Linked DNA regions of Arabidopsis thaliana. The protein of the gene in region 3 interacts with the protein of the main gene of each other region in a pairwise test. Each region holds a gene or a part of one and is shown on either strand. Other genes may lie near its edges.

Region 1 (5,222 bases), on a different chromosome or scaffold from region 3:
GATGGTTCTAGGAGAGAGAGTGAGTCCTCCAATAGCAGATTTGATGCAACGACAGACCCCCTGACGGTCCACAGAAGTTTGAGCCTGACTCTTGAGTGTTGTGAGACCGTTGCAGCAGAGGGTTGGGACCGGTCCGCCCTGAGTCACGTAGGATAAGCAAGGGTAAAGATCCGCAATCACCGTGTTGCAAGACACGGCTGCTTCACCGCAGTGTAAAGCAAGAACCAGGCACACGGCTAATAAGAGAGATCTCATGTTACTTTCTGTTTTTTTTTTTTTGGTGTATTTGTGTTATGGTTAGGGTTAGAAAATAGAGAGGTTATTTATAGATGGAAAGAGTTTGAGATTGGTAGTTGAGGAAGAGTGATTGCTAGGACACGAGTGTTACTGTTAGTTAGTTGTGGAAGAATTTAATGTTTACCTTCAGCCAATTAAGATCCAACCCTCCGGATTCAACTGCATTGTATCTAACAATATTATTTCTTTTTAATTACATTTTTTCTTCTTTAACTATCCAAATTCATCTCTTAATCAATAAAAAAGGCCTACTAAATTAAACACTGATACCAACTACAATGAGAAGAGTTGTTAAAGAAAAGAAAAAGACTAATAGATTAAGATAGGAATTTGGATAGTATTTAATTTCTTACTGGTTTGAAATGCTGTTTAATTCAGTAGTGTATGATTTAATGCCTGATTATAAAATTCAAAGTTTTAAAACTGCTTTGACAAATAAAAAGGATTTCAGTTCTCATCTACATATATTTGGATAGTGTTTAACCCATGTGTGTAGTAATATATATGTCAATATCAACGTCGACAAAAGGAAAAATAATGACAATTTTTAGGCGATGGATATTGAGTTGTATCGCTGCTCATAGTGCATTGACGCTCTAGATAAAGAGATTAATGAAGTGTGCGGTTGGTACGTTTTGTTGTTACAAGTAGTTAAGATAGCACAAATATGAAGGAGCATCTTCGAGTACTAAGAGCTGTGGTGTGAAATTGATCGTTGAGAAACCGTTTTGGTTGGTTTCCATCAAGTAATTTGAGCCGTGGTCCCAATTTTGTTCGGTTTAGCCGATCCTTAACCAAAAACCTGATTCAGAAGAAACATGTATTCGGTTTGATTCCAAATTCTGTAGCTTGTATTATTAAATCATTCCAACGGGCTGTATCCAACTTTTACAACTCTTGAATCAAAAATTAAGTCAATAAAATTCGAGATCAATTGAATAATGTTACTATACTATACACATTCACATGGTATTTATAGTAACATTTACCCTCCTTGAACATTCTGCCTCAGTGTCATACCATTCATGTCGACAATAAAAGTTCCCATCTTAATCAATTCCAAAGTCCTTACAAAGTTAAACGTCTATACAAATTATAATGACTGTTGATCAGAACTTCAATATCATATATCAATTTTCTCAAAGGTATTCATTCTTCTGGTGATATCATTTTTCCTATCTCTAGTCATGTCGGGGTATTTCTGCTCTACCATTTGGTAATTGGTATCAATATGTATGCAACTAATTAGCTTAGTATTAAACTTCATAAACATATATTATACGCCCAATTATAGAAACTCTTGACATGAATCAATCCCATTCTTGATTGTTTCTCTTCAAACAAAAACTAGCCATACAAGGAAAAGGGATCTCTTGTGACAAATCAATCTAGCCAGGAAAGGTTTAACTAGGAAATCGCTAAACTATAATACAAATCGTTTCCCGCATATAGTTCCGATTGCGCTAGCCACTACTAGCCAGTGTTCTCTTGGATTGAATTCCAAGTATATAGACTCGATAAAAAACCTTAAAGAAATTCAAAAGAAGCCTCATCTCCCGATTCTGGCTACTCGGTTTCTCAACTTCCTATTATGCTTTTCCTGGAAGAACCATTGAAGATGTTGTATTGGTACAATTCAGTAACATTTTGCTAGACAACAATCAATAACATGAACAACAAAACCACTTTAATTCTTGAATAGCAATAACATCGAATTTTGAAGATGGTTTTGTACCTGTTGAAATACCCTAGCCGAGCTCTTCTCAACATCAGAAGCCAAGCTCTCGATCTTCGCCAGCATTCTCTCATACATTTCTTCAATCCCGCCTGTGTAATTCGCAGCTTCAGCTCCAACCAAACGTTTCAACTCTCCAACTTGAAACCCCTCTGCTAACGCATCGATCTCCTTCTGATCTTTCGCTGATTGTTTCTTCGCACTCAAGGAACTCTCATCGCAATCCACGCTCATGGCTGAGCTACTCAACTCGCAGATCAACGGTGGAAATCCCGATTTCGGACTAAACGAACCGTAATGGCCTCGAAACGCTGGTCCAATGTTGACTATACCAACGGATCTAGGTTCGAGCCGTTGTTTCGAGGATCGGAACTGGTACGCACGGTACTCGTGCGTGTGAATGCACTGATCCGTCAATGGCATAGTAAGAAGAAAGAACACGGATGAAGCCATGTTCATCGATCTAGGGTTTTGCAAATCCTCGATTGGTAAGTGAAATTGAGACGAGAGAGACGACGTGACGGCTAACTCTCTCATTGATGGACGGTTAGCGGTTTTCCTGCGGGCGGAGAACCACCCAATTAGGTGGTCCGGTGAGTCGACTCGGAGGGAATCGATTCGACGCGAGTCAACTCGGCCAAGCGGATCGTAGAAGGAGACAGTTTTACCAGAGCAGATAAAGCTTGTAACGGTGGCGACAATTTGATCAGATGAGGAGGAACTCGAGGCGATATCCGCCGGAGAATCGTCGGATAGATTAGAAGAGACGATTCGGTGGATTTGGCCGAAGATCAAGCCATCGACGTCACTGGGAGAAGATGAAGCTCGTTGAATCAGTGACGCCAATGTTGGACCCGAAATCTCGATTTTCTCTAGAGAGAGATCGTCCATGGCGACGAGAAGAACACCAAAAGGAAAAGATGTGACGTCACTGAAATCTCTCTCTGTGCAAATAAAAACGAGATAAAAATTGTATCAGCACATTAGGACGACGTGGCGTTTCGTGTTCTAACGAGTAGTTAGCGTGTCGTTTTTGTGAAAGAAAATGGGCATAAATGTCCACACTCGAGGCCCGTTATTCACCTTAAAGCCCAATCAAACAGAAAAACATTTTAAAAGGGAAATATGAAAGGTCAATTAGTTCCTTAATCTTCTGCATTGATGTAGCAGCAACTAGCAACGGTGCTTACAAGTGTCGCCATGTTGTTTCTTAGTTGCAAATTAAGAAGAGAGCAAAATATCTTTTTACAGACTACAAGGAAGAAAACAACACTTCTTAGCTCAGAGTTTTTTGAAGGACAGAGGAAAAAACCAAGAAGATGGTGCATCCTTTGGTTGATAGAGCTACAAGCGATATGCTCATTGGTCCTGACTGGGCCATGAACCTCGAGATATGTGACATGCTTAATCATGAGCCTGGGTAAGACCTTTTTCACTAAAATGTATTTGAATGACTGTAAAATCCTTGGTCCAATGCTCTAGGTGATCAATACGAATCAATGTTCTAAAGGAAAAATGGTAATTGTTGACATTGTGATTTCCTAAAGAGAATCAATGGTAATTTTGTTGATCTCGGTTATACTACATTTGTGTTGATCACTGAAGACTCGGATGGTTCAGATTTGGTTTTGATGTTTTTTTTTTTGGTTTTATTCCACTTTTCTAATGATATGTGAGTGTGTGTTTGTAGGCAAACGAGAGAGGTAGTGAGTGGCATAAAGAAGAGGCTTACTAGTAGAACTTCCAAGGTTCAGCTTCTGGCTCTTACAGTAAGTTCTACTACCAGGGCTTGATATTCATGTTTTGGTTTGGTTTGGTTTGATTTTGGATTCAGTTTCGGTTTTGCATAGAATGAGATGTTCTTACATTATTAATACCAAACTTCACTTCAGTATGATATGTACACAACCAATAGTATTCAGATATTTACTTTTATTTTCTTCCTTTTTAAAAATTTATTTATGAGAAGATTAACATATTTTGGTTTTGTTACTTTGTAGTTACTAGAGACAATAATAACCAATTGTGGAGAACTTATTCATATGCAAGTTGCAGAGAAGGATATACTTCATAAGATGGTGAAGATGGCCAAAAGGAAGGTCAGGCTATGTTTCTTTTAAACGATTGTTTAATCTATAACAATAGTTTTGTGTGACACCTAACTTATCATGTTGTTTGTTAAACTTATAGCCTAACATCCAAGTGAAGGAGAAGATATTGATACTTATAGATACTTGGCAAGAGAGCTTTTCAGGTCCACAAGGAAGACATCCACAATATTACGCAGCATACCAAGAATTGTTGGTATGTTTCATTTTTGCTGTGACATGTCCATTTTAATCGAACCGATGGAGATATGGTTTGAATGTTAGTATTTCGTTTAATTTCTTTTATCTGTTTTCAGCGTGCAGGAATTGTATTCCCTCAAAGACCTCAAATCACACCCAGTTCAGGACAAAATGGTCCTTCGACAAGGTATCCTCAGAATTCTCGTAACGCTAGACAAGAAGCTATTGATACTTCAACAGAGTCAGAATTTCCAACTCTGAGGTGTCTATCTTAATTATTGCTCATTATTTTCTAGGAATATTCAACATAAAAAGATTTGATCAAATAGCATTTTTTTGGTTGAAGTTTGACAGAAATTCAAAACGCAAGAGGAATTATGGATGTCTTAGCTGAAATGATGAACGCAATAGATGGAAACAACAAAGAGGTATATCTTTTAACACCTAGATTCTGAAAATTCATATAACATTTTTCGTTAACATTGAATCTACCAAATGAATGTATTTTCTTTTCACCTTTGCAGGGACTTAAACAAGAGGTTGTTGTAGATCTTGTTAGCCAATGTCGCACCTATAAACAAAGAGTAGTGCACCTTGTAAACTCGACATCGTAAAGATCTGAAACTTTTACCTGCAAAATTTGTTTTGAAACTCTAAACAATTTTGACGAATATATGTTCTTTATACACGTTTTGGTTCATGTGTCAGAGATGAATCTATGCTTTGCCAAGGCCTAGCCTTAAATGACGATTTGCAGCGATTACTTGCAAAGCACGAAGCCATCGCCTCTGGAAACAGTATGATTAAAAAAGAAGAAAAATCTAAAAAAGAAGTTCCTAAGGACACAACTCAAATCATAGATGTTGGTTCAAGGTAAGAAACAGTTCTAGACTTCTAGTTAT
Region 2 (4,653 bases), on a different chromosome or scaffold from region 3:
TCAAAATGTATTGTAAAAGAAGACAAGTAAAAAGCTTTTAATACTCAGGTGGAAGAGCTTACTCTAAAATCGAAGAAACTAGAAACCGAACTTGGAAAGACTTCGAAGAAGCTTGAAGTTGCGGTACTAATGGCGCGAGATGATGCAGAGAAGATCAAATCTTCAGAAGAGATAGTCAGATCCTTAACTCTGCAGGTACGTACATACTCATTGCTATTCAAATATGCTACTTAAGCTCCGGTAATGTAGATTTCAGTCTTATTCTCTTCATACAGTTGATGAACACAACCAAGAAAGAAGTAGACAAGACAAGGAGACACCGAAACTCGTTTTGATATAAACCTTTTGAACTATAATTTGATCAAAGTAAGTGAATAGAATGTAAAATACAAGAAGAAAAGATTTCTCTTTTATCAAAATTACATACCGAAAACAAATCAATGTAGTAGTTACTTACAAAGGAAAGCTCACAACACATACACACATTTATGAATTCGAAATTGACAAAACAGAGAAATAAGAAAAAAGTTCCAACCTTTATGATTGGTTTAGTGAAATATCAACAAAAGCTTCTTCATTTGACTAACAATGGCCAAACTAATACTCATCATCTGATTAGCCATCTCCATCTTTTTCTTGATCTCATTACCCACAATTGTTCCCATTTCTTCAATTCCATCGGAACAAGTCTCACCGTCAGTCATGGCGGCGCTGATCCAAGTCTTAACATCTCCGACGACTTCTTCCGTCAACCAATTATTCCCACCTTTCTTCTTCTTTCTCTCGATCTCTGTAATCGAATCGTTGAGTTGACTCAACGCGTCGGTGTAAAGCTTCACACAATCACCAACCGCCGCGTCCTCAGGCATATCGTTGATTGATCGGAAAGAGATAGAGAGGTTTGAGATCTCTTTAGCAGCGACTCGAAGAGAAAGCTCGAGGATTGATTCAGGGTTAAGCTTTGAATCAGATTCGTTGAGAGAAGATGATAGAGAGTTGAAACAGGTCTCTGGGTAACGAGTCACGGAGCATAGTGACTTGAGAGAGGCGGAGGAGATAGGTGGATGGTGTGGAGGAGAGTGAGTGAAAGCTCCGGCGGTTAAAGCGACGACGGAGAGGATTAAGAGGAGAGATACGACGGAGCCGGTGGCGATTAGGGTTTTACGGGAAAATGATGATGGTTTTGGAAGTGGAGAATGATGATGATGATGGATTTGGTTTTCTTGGTCGGATACTTTGTCGTAGCCTTTCAAGGTGTTGATTGATTCCATTGAAGGGTAATGGTTTTTTGATCGAAGGAAATTTGAAGAAGATGAATCTGTGATTTTGGGAGAGAAAAAGTCAACAGGAAGAAGTTGAAATGTGAAGCTTTGTTGCATTTAAGAGCAATCCCAATGGTTTAGAACCAATTGGTTCTTAATTTTCAATCTTAGCCTTATTTTAAATTAAAATGTTGTTTTTACTAAGTTAAGAAAAGTTAGAAAAAAACTTAACTAATTTCCACTCCAATGATTAGGAACTATTGGGTTCTTAAGAAACAAAAATTTAAATTATTCCAAAACAATGTCTTATAATACAAGCAATTACACAAAATGTTTATAATACAATTCAAATTATTGAGGACTTCCAACTAGGCAACTACACAAGATGCTTGCTCCTTGATTTTTCTGTCTAGACAAAGAATCTCTGCCTCCACGATGGCTAATTCTTGAAAGAGCTCAGAAAACTGTTGAACAATAAAATCTCATCATTGTTTGATCATTAAGAAATAATTAACATTATGTGTGATTATGTCTATTGGTATTGCCTGAGGTGGAAGAAACAATGAGGAGAGACTTGGGAGAGAAACAATAGAGCCATCAAAAGCAGCTCGTAAAGTTCTAGTCACTGCTTCTTCTTCCTCTAGTCTCTCTTTAAGATGCATCACCTGCATAAACACAAACATTCAAATTATTGGTATAGAGATTTTGAGTTAGGAACAGAGGTGCTTACTCCTTCCTCTAAGTCATGTCTCTTGTTACTATGTAGCTGTGATGAATCTTCCATGAGTAGTTCCTCAAATTTCATGAGTTTCAGAGAAACATAAGAAGAAGGAAACGGGTCTAAGTAGAGAAAGATAATGATTAGAGTGAAACGTGGGAGCCATTAAAAGGGTCGGTTCGGAGTACTAAAACAGTTATTGACTTTTGTTTTTTGGTCACTTGAAGTTGTTAAGAAGAGATAATGTAAGTCACATGAGACTTGCCGGAATAACGGCGGATCAGATTCTGATAAAAAGAGAATCTCTGCAAAATGATGTAAAGATATTACATGTCTCAGCTTTTGATCGTGTAAAATCAGATTGGGAGGGTTTGTTTGTTTTACCTTTCTTCTACCACCGGCATGTGATGTAACTAGGCCAACAAGAATTCCACCAAGAGCATTGCTTATTACTGGGACCTATAAGAACATTCACAGTGCAGACATAATTGTTTTTCTATCAACATAATCGATTTAGGATATTGAGAGATAGTTTCTTACCAGTGTTAAAGCAGTTCAGCCATAAAAGAAGCCATGTCTTTGTGTGTTCTTGTAATCCATCCTTTAGTCTAGCTGTTGCAGAGGAAATATATGATTGTGGTGAATGTGAATTAACAAGGATCACAAAACAATAAAAACATACTTCAATTTCTGTTTATTGTACCTTGGAAAGAAGACTGACTAGTTTCTGTTACTAAGGTCACCAAGGGAACAAGAATGACATGACAATGATCAGCAAGGAAATATAAATTAGACTAAACATGAAAGAAGAGCTGTCATACTATCAATCGCTAGAAGCTTTACTTATAAACTTACAGGAGGAATACTTAAACAAAAAGGAAAACTCAAAGCTAGCATAAGTTAAACCGAATTCATTCATTTTAAAAACTGATTAACATGCTCAAGCATTACAAAGATGAAATAACAAAAACAAAAAGAAGACTAAATTATGACACATGAAACTAAAATGTTGCAACAGAGAGTGAATTGAAACTATGAGTTTGACAACATCTCATTGATTAATTTGTTCTTGAGAGCCACTTCTATATCAGTAAGTGGCTCTTTTTTTGTGAAGAGAGATTCCAGCAATTTGGTCCTTGATAATCTTTCTTGCTTTTCAAAATCCTCCTTCTCTTGCTCTCGATCCTTCTGCCTTAGCTCCCAATCCTTCTGCTTTATCTCCCAAATAGACTGAATCTCCAACATCACATTCCCTTTGTCTTCCACAGTTGTTGTCTTACTCACAGCCTTTTTTGCTTTCGCCTTTGCAGCTTTAACACCAATAGGACGAGACATTGCTTCTTCTGCTTCATGGGTTTGTGGCTGGGAGGTTGAAGCCTTGTCAGACTTTCTTCTTTTGGACATTACAGTTGCTTTAGTAGAAGGAGCAGAGAGCCATTTCTGTTCAAAGCGAAGCACTCTCCAAGCATGCTCAAGGGTGAACTTACCATGTTCGCTGTTGTAGATTTCATGTGCTAATGCAACGACATCATCGTCATTCTGTCCACTAGATTTCTGCTTTGTTGCAGCTTCATAGCTCCCTACAAACTTGCCTACACCTTCATTGATCTTAGTCCACCTCTGCTTTATGTGACCTGTCTCTCTCTTTTCCACACCGTTGAGCTTTGGACTTGCTCCGTAATAGGCAGCAATACGTGACCAAAAGGCATAACCCTTTTGTTCATTGCCTATTACTGCATCTTTACTTGTGTTGAGCCAAGCACTGACAAGCACCAAGTCTTCACCGGCAGACCATTTCCTTCTCTCTCTTTTCACCTTAGGTGTGTGTGCAGCTTGGTTTGGAGAAACATCATCATCATACGGATTGGTTTCTAAATTGTGAGCCTCTTGTTGACTAGTTAAGAGGTTCATGAAGCTTGATCCATGACTATATGGATCCATAGACTAGTTCTCTGGTTGGTGTAAGAAGGAGCGGGAAAGATTGTTTTTGGTGTGTGTTTCTAGTGTGTTTCTGGTTAGGTGTTTAAATAACAAGAACAAGAGTTAATAGTGTCTGGTAATAATATCTGGTTGGTGTTTAAAAGTTAATGGTGTCTGTTTTAAGTGTGACATGACAATCAACTACCAAGTATCAACCACATACCGACAACAAGCATTCAATAAAAGCCATATATAGTCATCTAATATAATTCATGAAAAGTCAGAGGTTCAAAGATATAAGGTTAAGATTGTTTTACCTTCTATGAGCCTTCCATTCGGTAATTGTATCCAATTCTTACACAACAGACATCAATCATTCTAGCAACTGTATCCACTTCTCCATTTAACCTCAACAAAAACAGCATAACAAAAACAAGTGTTATGTCATGAACGTAAGACACAATAAATCTACAATCAAATACAAAACAAGTCTGTAATCAAATACAAAACAAATCTGCAATCAAACATAAGATAAATTTACGATAACAAGCAAACATATATGTACTTAACCAACATAAAACTGTAATCAATCAAAATAAATCTGTAAGCAAATTGATAAAATTAAATCTGAGTGTACTAATAAACAAAATTGCAAACAAATCCAACGACAAAATCCTAGTTCTACGAACGGCAAACGACGGCAAATCCCAAGAAATAGCAGCAATCAAAGGAAGACAAGACAAAATAAAATTG
Region 3 (6,871 bases):
TGCAGCTTGCCGCTTAACAACAGATCCTTCCATCAATAACTTAAGTCTGACCAAACCCCTCATTGCCCGCAACGCTCTCCTTGCCTGTATTTCAGATATTACACAAAATAAGATTATACTCAACAAAGCAGCTTCCTTCACACAAAATCAAGTGCCTCGGTCAAACTCATACGAAATTCCGAAGGAATTAAGTTTCTGCAGATAATAAAGCCAATTGCAAGAGTAGAATTACATACCAAATAACCTCTAAATATAGTCTGGATCAAGATAGCAGCGGCTTCTTCGTTTGACTTTCCAGCAAATCGAGTAGGTGTAGCGCGACGAACAACACCAGGAGCAGATGAAGATGGAACTACAGGAACATCAGTAGCTGTAACATTCACAGCATCTGCTGTAGAAGGAGGTGAAAGATCCCTGTTCCGTTCAACAATCACTTCAGCTACTCTCACTTCACGAGGAGCAAGAGCAGGAGGAGGAGAAGAAGAAGATTGTCTAACATTATCCACAACAGGAGGATTAGAGATAACACCATTTTGTCCCTCAGCCAATTTTTGCTTCGACTTCTGAAAACACATCAACATGTCAATATATACAGACTATAACATTAAGTCACATCAATATACAAAAAAAAAAACTTCACCTTTGAATCTGGGCTGAATGCTTTCTTAACACTTGAAAACCATTTAGCTTTTTTCCCCATCTCTATGTAATCCTTCACAGAGAAGAAACAAATTATTCCACAAGGAAACTGAATCTACTGATCTCAGTAGCTAAATTACGACAGATCTCGAAATCTAGAGCTAAAATTCACCAATTGATACTGAATCAGGGAGAGAATGAATCGTACCTATGAGAAGACAGTGACACCAGATCTGATAGACGAAAAAGCTTGAAGATAAAACCTGGAGGAGTCAACTAAACCACAACGCGGCTTCTAAGTAGTGACCTTATCGGAGAAGACGAAAAAGCTTAAGAATCGAATCGATTGGATCTTTGCTGAGGTGCGAAGATAACTTTTCTTCTTCGAATTGCTTTCACATTATCATAATTGCAAATGGAGAAGAGAGAGAGAGGAGAAGACAGATGGATTCAAAGCTGTGTGAAGAAGAGTATTTGTGACGGTGTGTGTTTGTGCGTGATGCCACTTAATTGGGCCTCTTTTGTGGGCCCCATTCTACTCTTCTTTTTTTCCTTTTCTTCTTCTTAATTTACCAACTTCGTCTCTCTTTTACTCTATTCTTTTCACTTTTTTTTTTTAGTGATGAGTTTTATTTCTTAAGTTTCATAAACACTGTTTTGTTAATTTTTCTTTTTATAGTATAGTATCTTTAGATTTATTATTATTTGGTGCATTTCAAAAATAGTATACATAGTTGACATGGTATATTGGTGTTTTCTCTAAAAATGTTTGAAATTTTCTTAAAATATGGATAACGTGTAAACTGGAAAATGTATTGGATTTTGTACCTTTTTTGAAACTAGATAATTTAATGAACAAGTTATGAGGATCGATAAAACAGTGACCATATAAATTTTAAATTAATTTATAACTTTATCCGGTAAGATTGGTCTTTAATTTCACCTAATAAAACAAAATTGTTGCAATAAAAAGTTTTTATTCGTCTTTAATTTTTGTCTTTAGGCGGGTTAAAATATAACACTATATTTTTGCCGTTAAATATCTGTTATTAATCGAATTAAGATTTAAGATCGTATTTTTTGTCGTCAAATACCAATTGTTTATCGAATTAATTCATCTGCATAATCCGTATAAAGTATGTGTGTTTTAATACACGCTTACATTACTACAACCGACAAAACATGTGAACAAAATATGTCCACCAGTGAGACAGCCTTTATCATTTTAAAATATACTCGTTAACAAGCCACCATATACGATACTTAATACTTTCTGGATTTGATAAATCATGAAAATTAGTTGGTCATTGTACTTGTACACCATATCATATTTTATGTTCAGATCCACCCACACTACTAAGTTAATCTCCGATGGATGAACAAAGAAAATATTTGACTCATAATACCTAGTGACACAAACCATAAATAATGCTTTGGAAAAACTCGTTTTATGCAACAGCTATTAGCAGACTGTATTTTGCTCTATGATCGTGTATATCCACCACAAAAGCAATTTCCCAAATTATATGGATTGACATACAGTGAACTAGAACGATGATTGAAAGAGTATATAATTTTTGTCCACTGGATTAAGTATTATCTGCCTGAAATCATTGACTTTTTTCGGAGATAAACCCAAAAGGTTCCTTATCGGTGGCCAGCTTGTACCAGTCTTCCTGTAATTTTTGTGGTTAAGAAAAAAAAAAAAAAAAAAAAAAAGCATATATATGTCCAATCACTCCATGTGGCGTCTTCTCTGTTTCGTTAGTATAACATCCCTAAAATTATTTTCATATAAAATAAGTGAGAACTAGCCGTTGGAATTTGATAATTTATTTTAGCTAATCATATGTCCAACATATCAAAGTCCTATGTATAACTGTTTATATAAAGATATGCCTCTGATAACTTATAATATTAATAGGTATCTGTATATCCAAAGTCGGTAGTTGAATTGGGGATATGGACATTCCACCTAATGTATAATTCAAACTTTGTCGTTGCCAATAAAATAAAAAATAATTATAAGCTATTATGAAAATTTCTCTCCCCGTCGGTCAACTTTGAGTTGGTCTTTGCATTCTAGCAAGTGAAATTTATAAGTTAATTAAACCGGGGGAAAAAAAAGATAACTAAACCAAAATTGAACCGAAAAATCCATTTGGCATTATCTGAAATGTAAGTGGGGCATGGAAATAAGGTCAGGGCCGTTAGCGTTTTAAAGATATTTAGATGAGCCAGTGAGTTTGGTAACGACCCGACATTTAAGTCTTGTCGTTTTGTAACAGAGCAACGGTAGAAGATTCCTATATTGGCTAACACCTAAACCTGAACCCATGATAACGCCATACCTTTTTCTTCCCAGTGAATTTAATTGAATTAACAGTTTACAACTTCATATATAGATTAGTCCATGTCCATCTATATCACCTCAGAGAATTTAATTTCACCACTATTCAACTTTTGTTACTACTTCAGTTCATCTATTTTTTCAGTTAAACATACACATTTAAAATAATATTTATAGTTATAAGAAAACAATTTTATAATAATATTTTTTAAAAGATAGGGTTACGTTCAGCATGAGAGTTTTTGGGAGATTGAGTTGAAACAAGAACTGAGAAAAACATTTAAGAATTGCAAAAGAGAATGAAGAGTTACTGGTTTTTGATCGAACTAGAGATATGAGTCATTTTCTATATTCACTCCAAAATCTAATAAAGAAGCAAACACAATTCTGGTTTTAATTAGCTGAGAAAGGTTCATGATAAGCTATTTCTATGTTTCCTTCAAAACATCATAAAGTTTTTGAAACTGAAGAAATCTAAATTCTCAAACCAACCATATGTTGATCTAAAGTTATATATATGACTTCTTACACCACTGGACGACAGAAGATAATCTATTCTTAGTAATGGCTGATAGTACTTCTTGATAGGGTTTTAGACTGTTTACCTCATTGCTCAATGCTAGGATTCTGAATCAGATAGCGAGCGTTGTGTAAGAGGGAAGTAGTCTCCTCGTTTGATGCATCAAGCAAACGCAACTCCTTGATCTCGTCCTGCCATTTCTCAACATGTTCCTTGTGTATCCTGTTTCATAAATGTGAACAGTGTTACACATGTGAGTGTATAAACATCTCAATCATGGTACATACAGAAACATTATAGAATCTCTTCAAACTCACATGATCAAGCGTTCTTCGAATTCGTTACTGAGTTCCTTGAGCATTGTTTTCCCTGTTTCCAGCAAGTTAGAAACCTACCACAAGAAGCATCAATCAATATCAGATTCTTCCTAAACTTAAGCAATCAGGGAAATGATAAGAGCAGCTTACAGTTTGTGTGAAGCTCTCAATCTTATCGAGAATTTGCGCAATGCTAAGTTCCATCTCATCAGAAGCAACAAGTTTCGTCTCAGCTTCTTCATTCTCAATGGTATGATCAAGGCTAATTCCATCTCTCGAATCTCCTTTTCCCTCTTCATCCTAACAAATTTCACAGGACAAAATCAAAAATCTGATCCACCACAAAATCATCATCACCAGATCAACGACAAATTCAAAAAAAACTTACAGATGCTCTCATGCGTTTCCGAAATCCTCCATTCCCTGCGTCTTCTTCCATTTCAGTGTTCATCAAAACTGCAGTAATTTAAAACGATGCTCATGAACGCATAAACAGATTAAGAATTAAGTTTTCTACTCGATGCGATTGAATCCACTAGCTAAAGCATCGCAGCAGATTCCGATTTCAAAATCTAAAAACCGTACGATTACATCCCCAACAATCTAGCTTAGGATTCTACAATAGAACGGAAGAAACTAGATCGAGATCGACGAAAAAACCTCCGAAAGAGATTAACAGAGAACTTACGCGATGAAGATCGAAGAAATTGCTCAGTACGAATTGGAGAGAAGAAGATGAAGAAGTTTTAGAGAGAGTCCAGTGAGTGTAGAGAATGAGGAAGAAAAGCCAATTTGTTTATTCCGAGAATCCATTTAAATAAGCGTTTAGATTTAAGACTTATTTTATTTTATTGTCTCTGTTTCATAATCATCACTAATTAAGTAATTATGCTTATACAATGCTATTGGCGTTTTAAGTATGGAGGAGTGACTCAAGAATCAAAGCGATTTAGATGCGATTTGATATTAAGCCGAGTAATCCAAACATTTTACAAAAAACATACAGCCAAAATATTCACCTAATCAGATACTAATCGTTTTTTTTATCTATCTCGTCCAAAAAATGTTACAACCTCCGGGACAAAACAAAAAACAATAAACCGGAGGATCGATAAGATATACCTTAAACTAGCTTAACTTAAGAGTGAGCAACTTCTTCTGGCTCAGTGATCACTGCATCGAGAAAGGTTCAAGACTTGTTATAAATATCCCGGGACCTTTTAAAGGGAAGCTCAACGAATACATGTTCAACTGATGATGATGATGATGATGACGACGATGATGACAATAGACGATTTACTTTTGATGAGCTTGGTCCAGCTGATTGTTGTTCTTGTTTTACATCAACAGAATTTTCAGAGATTATGTTACTCTCTCTTGGATGAGGATTATCATTTTCAGCATCACTCTCGTCAAGGATCACAATCGTATCTGCACACAACAGAAAATATTCAAATAAATTTTCTTACAAGAGAGGTTCACCAACATATCAAGAACATACATACATACCTGTTGGAGTGTTATTCACATTATGATCATCCACCATAATAACCTCATTCTTGATAGTCACATTATAATCCTCCACCACAATAACCTCATTTTCGAAAGCCACATCGCTACTCCCTAGACCGGCGAGATTCTCAGCATCAAAAAGCGATTTCAAGAATGAACATTGTGATTCAGCCGCATCAAATCTCTCTTTCAATTCAGCATACTTGTTCTCCATCTTCTTCAGCTTCTCCACTTCTTCCTCTTTCGCAATCAAAAGCTCCTGATTCTTAACACTCAAATCATTGATAATGGCCTCTTTCTCACTGATCATTCCCTTCATCTCCTTCATATACTCCTCTTTCTCACTTCTCTCTTTCTCTAAATCCTTAAGCAAGCTTAGAATTTTCTCCTCGAGTTCCTTAATTTGCTTCTGATATTGAAACTTCATTATCTCGTTCATTTCATTCATCTGCTTAAAACTTTCCTCTATACTTTTGTAATCTTTTTCCAGATTCTCATAATTCTCCTTGAGAATTTCATGTTTTGTCGCCAAAATCTCCTCCTGAACAACCAAATTTCTTCTTGTCGGAGTAGCCACCGACGAGATTTTGTTCTTCCCCGATTTGTTTGAACGAGCTGATGATTTTCCAGTCATGACGTCGAAACCCTAACCCTGGATATCAACACAAACAGCGGTCAAGCTTTTACTAGAGCTTCTTTATCTTTGCCAAATTTACAAAATTTCACAGATTTCTAAAGAAACCCTAAAACTCAAATTCGTTCTAAGCTCCACCGGAAGAAGAACGGGGAAACTAACACTAGCGGATCTTTAAACCAAAATGTACAACGGAAGAAGAAGAAGAATCTTACCCAGAAAATCTTTTGAATCTTCTTCTTCTTCAAACGACCAGAAGAGAGAAAGAGCTAGCTACTGGAAAATGAAAGTAGCTACAGAGAAGGGAAAAAGCAAATCCCTAGAAACAGAGAAAATGAAGCGGGAATACGAAAGGACAACATATTCATGATCAAGTTAATAATTGAATCTTTGTTTAGTGTTAAATTGAACTTAATCCAAATTTTTGTTCTCTTCCCATTCATGTCCTCAAACAAGTAAAATCATTTACTTTAGTTTAGCTTAGATTAAAAAGATAATTCGATATTCAAATAAAATACCACCGTATCTAAAAATCATAATTACATTGACAGTGTATCTTATAATTGGATTTGAAGTGACAAGGAGGATACGACAAAAAGGAATCAAACCTTCGGTGAGACAAAACTGTATTACAAGTAGTTACAACAACAACCCAAAAGACAAAACCTAAAGACTATTGTCTTTCTCTCTCACTCACTATCGTTACAAGCAAACGCTAAGATGACTAGTTTCCTTTTGATTTCATCATCCGACTTTCTTTGTATTCTCACCCTAAAATCCGAGGCGATTTCATTCATCGATTCCATAATCTTCACCAAAGTATTTATCCACAAGACTGTTCGCCATGACTCTCAGCTCTTCGTTCTCATGAAACTGAAACCGTTCCATTGCATCGATAC

Evidence for each region.
Region 1: the proteins of AT5G03050 (region 3) and AT3G08780 interact in a two-hybrid assay, tested with the Arabidopsis thaliana proteins (one large-scale study listed by BioGRID).
Region 2: the proteins of AT5G03050 (region 3) and AT3G47675 interact in a two-hybrid assay, tested with the Arabidopsis thaliana proteins (one large-scale study listed by BioGRID).

The regions. Positions count from the first base shown.
Region 1 is NC_003074.8:2,664,530-2,669,751, forward strand, and holds AT3G08780 (BRISC complex subunit Abro1-like protein), read right to left. Parts: upstream 3,032-5,222; 5' UTR 2,924-3,031; coding exon 2,033-2,923; coding exon of another isoform or gene 1,985-2,032; exon of another isoform or gene 1,898-1,984; coding exon 1,847-1,897; 3' UTR 1,534-1,846; downstream 1-1,533. Other genes in the region: LTP6 (lipid transfer protein 6), read right to left, coding at 1-255; AT3G08790 (ENTH/VHS/GAT family protein), read left to right, coding at 3,352-3,452, 3,723-3,801, 4,033-4,131, 4,223-4,336, 4,437-4,582, 4,667-4,748, 4,845-4,930, 5,029-5,193.
Region 2 is NC_003074.8:17,574,471-17,579,123, forward strand, and holds AT3G47675 (ternary complex factor MIP1 leucine-zipper protein), read right to left. Parts: upstream 2,398-4,653; 5' UTR 2,365-2,397; intron 2,286-2,364; 5' UTR 2,068-2,285; coding exon 1,993-2,067; intron 1,928-1,992; coding exon 1,808-1,927; intron 1,727-1,807; coding exon 1,631-1,726; 3' UTR 1,534-1,630; downstream 1-1,533. Other genes in the region: AT3G47660 (Regulator of chromosome condensation (RCC1) family protein), read left to right, coding at 49-195, 276-335; AT3G47670 (Plant invertase/pectin methylesterase inhibitor superfamily protein), read right to left, coding at 549-1,379; AT3G47680 (DNA binding protein), read right to left, coding at 3,013-3,921.
Region 3 is NC_003076.8:711,707-718,577, forward strand, and holds AT5G03050 (knotted 1-binding protein), read right to left. Parts: upstream 4,642-6,871; 5' UTR 4,515-4,641; intron 4,283-4,514; 5' UTR 4,278-4,282; coding exon 4,215-4,277; intron 4,127-4,214; coding exon 3,977-4,126; intron 3,901-3,976; coding exon 3,827-3,900; intron 3,732-3,826; coding exon 3,596-3,731; 3' UTR 3,595-3,595; exon of another isoform or gene 2,337-3,594; intron 2,316-2,336; 3' UTR 1,521-2,315; downstream 1-1,520. Other genes in the region: iqd2 (IQ-domain 2), read right to left, coding at 1-84, 237-563, 641-700; AT5G03060 (striatin-like protein), read right to left, coding at 5,016-5,257, 5,336-5,972; IMPA-9 (importin alpha), read right to left, coding at 6,762-6,871.